Linked DNA regions of Drosophila melanogaster. The protein of the gene in region 1 interacts with the protein of each later gene in a pairwise test. Each region holds a gene or a part of one and is shown in the gene's direction. Other genes may lie near its edges.

Evidence for each region.
Region 2: the proteins of CG18666 (region 1) and PpD5 interact in a two-hybrid assay, tested with the Drosophila melanogaster proteins (2 studies listed by BioGRID).

What each region holds. Positions count from the first base shown.
Region 1 is NT_033779.5:11,032,552-11,035,813, forward strand, and holds CG18666 (uncharacterized protein), read left to right. Parts: upstream 1-2,243; 5' UTR 2,244-2,300; coding exon 2,301-2,684; 3' UTR 2,685-2,757; downstream 2,758-3,262. Other genes in the region: Samuel (SAM-motif ubiquitously expressed punctatedly localized protein), read right to left, coding at 2,965-3,262.
Region 2 is NT_033778.4:22,041,003-22,044,719, reverse strand, and holds PpD5 (protein phosphatase D5), read left to right. Parts: upstream 1-1,774; 5' UTR 1,775-1,866; coding exon 1,867-2,907; 3' UTR 2,908-3,053; downstream 3,054-3,717.

The sequences.
Region 1 (3,262 bases):
CCGACTATGGCAGAGTAACTCGTGCTGCACGTCGTCGTCGTCGCTGGTCGTTGGTCATGTCGTGTCGCTCTTTCGGAGGCTGCGGCACCAAATTTATATATAGCAGCTTGCCGCCTAACTTGCCTCCTCGTACCGCTCCCCATCCTTCCCTTTGCCCATTCAGCTGGCTCCCTGCGTTGTTGTTGCCATTGATTTATCGTGATCTGTTGGTTGTCGATTTTTTGCTGTTATTTTGTTCGTTTGCCGGTTCGGCGTTGTTGCCTCTTGCTGCTTACAACTTTTTTTTTTGTTGCTCTTTTTTGTCTCATTTTTTTCTGTTGTATCTTTTTTAGTAATTTTTTTTCGGTTTTGTTAAAAATGTTGATTATTGCAAATTGCTTTGGCGATTGGTAGCAGCTACTTAGTTGTGTTTTGTTGCTTGTTCTTGGCAATTGTTTGAACAGCAACCAGATCAACCCAAAAAAAAAAGTAGTGGAAGCAAAAAAGCATTGCAAAAATGGTTTATGGTGGCGATTATGTTGGCTACTGCCACCGATCGCCCTCCCAGTTCCGACTTCACCCAATCTCGATGTGTGTCTAACGGTTTGGGTGCTCTGGTTGTCTAAGATCTTTAGATCGGTGGCATGCCTAATTGGTTTTTATTATACAACCGGCAACATGTGCCCGCCTCGGTATGCAAATGGTGTCTATTGTTACGCCTACACAAGACCCAAAAAGTCCCTAATAAAAATAAATGTATGTGAATACGGTGCGGTTCGAAACTGACAAAGCGCTCTTAGCAAAAATTTCATCGATAGAAACTAGACCCACTTGGTATTAATACCTTAAGGTCAAAACCACGCATATGTAAGGCACTTTTTAAACTAATATATTAATTAGATTTTAAAAAGTAATACCATTTTTATTTCCAAAAGAACATTTATGGTTTTGAAACGCGCTGTATGCATCTGTAAAAGATACAAGATTTCGCATATGTCCAAAGAGTATTGGTTGACGTGAAAAAAAAAACAAAAGAACTTAAAAAGCCATTGGACCAAGCCTAGGGAAAAAGTCTAGCCAAATCTTTTAAAACTTCCAATACTATTAAGAACATGTATTAAATATGCAAATTAAGTTTATAAATAAAAACAAAAAAAAAAAAATACAAACTGAATGAAGCAGACAGACATCGTATTTCTGTCAATGGTCACGTAGCAAAATCAAGTTATGTGTATAACTATATTTATTTAACATTCGTGATTTCGTCAGGGGATACATTTTATCAGTTATATTCGACAGGTGAGAAGAATTCGCATCGAATTTACATTAATTCTTCAAAAGTCCAAAATCGCATAATGTATTTATGATATAAACACAGTCTTCAAACCAGTTATTTGTCCGACCCTTAAACATTCATTTGTCATATCGCATTAAGGCTGGCTTAATAAGCCACTCTAATTTGAGTATAAACAATTATAAATTATGAAAATGATGCGGCTTATCCAATCTCTCTTCAGACGACCACCCCGACGAATTGAGTGAACCCACGGCCAGATGCGAATCGACTATACGTAAATCCGAATCTGTCGTGGTCGCACCACTCAATTTCCACACCCCAGGTGCCGATAGTCTAGAATGTCTCATTAATATTAATATGGTCAGCCGTTCGCCCAAATCATATGGCCCAACTAGTATCTTTGTATCTATGTATCTTTGTATCTTTCTGCTAAGGCCTAAGGCTTGTTAAGGTATTTCGTTTTGGTTTTTTTCTTCTCTTTTTTTTTTTTTGCGCTCGGAAGATAAATTGGCTTTATTTATATTAGTTAATATATAATCTTTAACACCATTAATTTAGTTGCGCGTATTAATTGCTGCTGATTTCGCTTGTCAAATCACATTTAGTCGCCGTCTGGGCCTTATTATATTTTTTTTTTTCGTCTTATTTGTTTTTAAATTCAAGTTTTTCAAGTTGTTTTTCTTTTTCTTTTCTTGGCGGGTTCTTTGTTATTGCCTCTTTTTGACAGCAAAAGCGTGCTCTTGTGTAGACACATTCGTGTTGGCCGCTTTTTTGTTTCGTGGTTTTGATTAATTTACCATTGGCTGCGAACAGAAGCCGCATCGGTTTGGTTTCTCTTCGAGGTATTAATTTATTAAAATGTTAATTAATTTGTCAGGCGTCGACAGGCGTTGAATTCGCTTGATAAATAGTCCAAAATAGTGGCAAGTTCGAATGGGAAATGATATCTCTCTTTACTTTTCCAAATCAACATGGCTCAGAAATTTACGTATTTTAATAGCGATTCCATGTAAGTCTCTAGAATATGTCTGACAAGGATAAGAAAGATAAACCGGAACAGTTGGATGATGATTCCAGTGACGACGATGCCAACCAGAGAGCAGTTCGAGATCAGTATTCCGATCCTACCATCAGTGCATCCCCCTCGATTCTGCGACACCCCAACGCTCCCCGTCCTGATATTTCAAGTGCCCCCTCGGTTGTCATTGCGTTGCCAAGTAGCGAGACCCTCGTCGTGACCGAGGAAACTCCGGAGGAGCGACTCCGGCGAAGAATGAGGTTTCTCGAGTTGCGGCGTGAGCACTACAACTACGTCAGCCATAGCGAGCAATGCAACATGGCGGATACGGAGGATGAAGATCACACGGAGAATCACCCAAAGTGTGAAGCCAATTGCAAGCCGGAATAGAGATTGGTTTCATTTTTTTTTAATTTTTAATTAAAACTACCGAAACTACCTTTCAATTAAATTAGCATAAAGTACTTTTACCAAATCTTTCCCTATAATCAATATGAGTGGACAAACCAATTTGTTATGTGATCGGTTGAGCGCTGCTCTAATGAATCATTCGAACAGATCACATGGGTCACGGCTATATCACGAATCAGTGATGCAATGAATCAATGATTCAATAAAGCCATGTCTCTCCGGAGTGTACCCCCGAACTTCCACTTCCACTTCCACTCACCTGGCAAATGAGCTGACGGTGAGTTCGCCGTTGTGGCTACTGCTATTGCTCCCTGGACTCAGCCGCTCCCTCTTGACGCTGTGGCCCAGACTTGGTTGACTCGATTGATGGTTGTTGATGATGCTGCTGCTGCTGCTGCTACTGCTGTTGTTGTTGTTGATGGTGTTGTTGTTGTTGTTATTGTGTATGGTGACCATCGGTGCATCCTTATGATTGTCCATCTTCTCATGCTTGACCTTCTCCAAATAGAAAGCAGCATAGGCGGCTGCCACCGATGCCGTATTTGCATTGGTGGTGC
Region 2 (3,717 bases), on another chromosome or scaffold:
GCAGATTTTCTCGCTCTGCTCTCTGTTCACGTCCTTTGTTTTCGCTTGCCAATTTTTGCTGGCCAGCGAAATGAAAATTGAAAATTGAATATTTCCGGCGACACAATGGGATGGCCGCAACAAAGGCAGCGACAACAGCAGCTGAGAAGCAGTTCTGCTGACCTAACCACACACACACACCCTTTTGCACTCCACCCAGCATTTCAACCTTTTCAAATCCAAATTCAAGCGTGCGATTTTGCTTTTCTTCTTTTTTGCGAGTCGAAAATTGCATTGCTGCGGTAAAAAGGGGGAGCTGCTTTGCGGAGGGGTTCGGAAAATATGGCAGCAAGCGGAAACGGAAATAAGCCAAGCGCCTTTGACTGCTTCAGATTTCGAGAGACGGTTGAAAGCTGTTCGACTTTGAGTCCCCAGTGAGGCGATTGAGTTGAAATTCCTTAAAATTGGTATTTAGATGGAAACGAAAAGAGGGTTTTCCACTTAAATAATAGCTTACTTTCTATAAACTAGGTCGCATCAAATCAAGTAACACGTGAAATTGCGTTGATTGCATTCTTCGCATTTCATTGTGTGATTTTAAACCGCAATGCTGCTTCTAAAACCATATCACATAGTCCCATATATGCCCTAAGTACCCATATCGAAAAGAACGATGGGGATTATCCCACTTTGGCCACAATTTAATTACATTTGCCGCACAAGGGAACCCTTCAAAGCTCCCGCAGCGCATTAGAGAACCGCTGGGGCATTGAATTAAACTGACATTAAAATAGATTCCGAATGGTGGCTGAGGAAAAAATGCAAACAAACCCGGGAGTGGGCGAGGAAATGGGTTTTTCCCCGGGCCATGCATTAAATCCACCACAGAAAACAATGCACAAATCCTATTTGAGCGCCGCTTGCAATTAAATACATTCTGGGCGGGACAAATGGGTCGGTGGGCTTCAAAGTTGCCAGTGGTTTTTAGGTTGCCCGAGTGGTAAAACACACATGAGTCCCGGGTGGAGCCACTACAGCCGGAAGTACACAAATCGCATAAAATCCAAAAAGGGCGCGATGTGGGACACAAGGAGCTGGGTCCGAACTGAGATCTGAGAGTTGGGTCCAAAAAAAGAGAGTGACATAAAAAGCAAACAGTGTCGACACTGATTCAAAAATGTATTCAAAATGCGCTCCGAGAACTGCAGGAAAGCGTTGGGCTGGGAAATAAAGGATTTTTTCGAGCGGGAACTTAAAACCCTAGATGGCCCGAAATGCTATCAAAAAGCTCCTCGCTCCCGTTCACTCCTTTAAGCCGCATTACAAGTGCAGGAAGCCCTGTGAATCGGGATTACGAGTAGCCAAAATGCAGCTGGGTCCTTGATTCGTGGCCAAAGGGGGAGTGGGTGGCTTCGCCCACGCGGTTCAAGGGTCAACTGCGAGTAAACAAGCAACTTTGCGGCGCTTTTGCTTTGTTATCGAAAGCGAACATTTTAATGTTTTCCGTCTTTTTGTTTTTGCCAAATTTATGCCAAGTGTCTGATAATTGAAACGGTCGAGGTGCAAAAGATAGTGCCAAAGTGAATTGGAGAGGATTCGGATTATCGGCCAGAGAAACAAAATGTTAAAGTAAACGGAGTGAAAAACTCACGCGAAACAACTAAGTTTTAAAGTGCAGTTTTATACCAATTCCAGTTAACAACTTAAGCTTTAAGAAAAAACTACACGAAGTGTTGTTTTTGACTTTCGAATATATTTTGCCTAAGCTACAAAAGGATGGGAAGGCTTTGATAACGTTGTACCATTTGCTTTGTGTTTCCTTTCGGTAAGAAAAGTTACCAGACGAAAACTGTAACACTCCATCCGTAATTCAGAAATAAGAAAACGATGTCTCGTCGTTCGACCGTTTTATCAACTGGTAAGGAGAGCTCCAAGGAGGAAAAGAATCGAATGTCCCAATTGGACGTTATTATCGGTCAACTGAAGACGATGGCGGTTGGAAACCGGAGGGCCGGAAATCTATCCGAGGCCACCATCACATATATATGCCAGGCGAGCCGAGAGCTGTTTCTATCCCAGCCGATGCTCCTCGAACTGAGTGCTCCGGTAAAGATCTGCGGGGATCTGCACGGTCAGTTCAAGGATCTATTGAGGATATTCCAGCAGTGCGGTGTGCCACCGCTTTCAAACTACCTATTCCTTGGGGATTACGTGGATCGGGGTCACTGCTCCATCGAGACTTTATCGCTGCTGTTGACCTATAAGCTTCGCTATCCGGAGACTTTCTTCCTGCTGCGCGGCAATCATGAATCGGCGGATTTGAATCGGGTATATGGGTTTTTCGACGAGTGCAAGCGACGATATAGCATCAAGTTGTGGCGCTCCTTTGTCGATTGCTATGACTGCATGCCAGTGGCCGCCATCATAGCCGATCGCATCTTTTGCGTCCACGGCGGACTGAGTCCGGATCTGAATAACCTGGATGACATCCGGCGGCTGAATCGCCCCACCGATGTGCCCAGCGATGGGCTGCTGTGCGATTTGCTTTGGTCGGATCCGGATGAGACCACCGGAACGTGGGCGTCCAACGATCGAGGTGTCAGCTTCACCTTTGGAGCCAACATAGTGGAGGGCTTCCTCATGCAGCACAAGTTTAACCTGATTGTCCGCGCCCACCAAGTGGTCGAGGATGGCTACGAGTTCTTCGCCGACCGCCAGTTGGTCACCATTTTCTCGGCCCCGAACTACTGCGACATCTTTGATAACTGCGGAGCTGTTCTGGTGGTGGACGCCAAACTGGTCTGCCACTTTGTCATCATCCGTCCGAGACCGTTTTCGCGACCCACGGGCTTTGAGTCGGATAGTGGATCTACAGCTACGGCGACCAATGGACCACCGCCGTCCATGAGGGAGAAGAGGCTTTATTAGGTTTGTTCGTTCAATATTTTATATTTTATATTTTATTGCTCTTGTTTTTGAATCGATTATTTTGCTTTCAATTGCGGCTTAATCGAAGGACAATTGAAGGTCGGGCAGACCCCAAAGAAAAGTGTAATAAATCTTCATTTAAATTTAATTAAAATTCCCAATGACCGAGTGGGTGGGGTAAAGACGGCGGGATGAAAATGGGGACACAAATCGTTCTGACAAGGGGGAATACATGAGGCGGGGTCAGAGGTTAACAGCTCGGCAGGCGAATGAGGTGGAGGTGGTAGCTTTTGTTTGACTTTGTAAAACGTCTACCTGGCCACACTTTATGCCAGGGAAAATAATTCCGTGCGCAAATATTTAAATGTGGCCAACGGGAGAAGCCGGTGGCCCGGAGGCGGGGTCTCCGTTCTGTCGGCCCGCAGGCAAAACTCGTTTTGTTTACAAAAACCTGGCATCGTAATTTATACATTCATGTGTGTAAACATAAACAAAAGGTTCCAAGGCAAGGAAAAGTGCCAGCAGGTGAAACTGCGGGCGGGGCGGCCAAAGAAAATAACTTTAATAATCTGGGAAAACACAAATAACATCCGAGTGTGGGTGCGTTTGTGTGTGTGTAGAAAAACAAGCAACTTTATTTATTATGTGTTCAATTGCAATGGCCAAAGGCATTGGCAAAATGAGGGTGGCATACGAGGCGTATGCGTGATTTCTGATGCACAGCCGGCGCATAAATCACATAATTGCGGCTGCCTGCGGCCATTTTGAATTGTAATTAATTTGTAATTTGTTGTACATATTTATCGAACC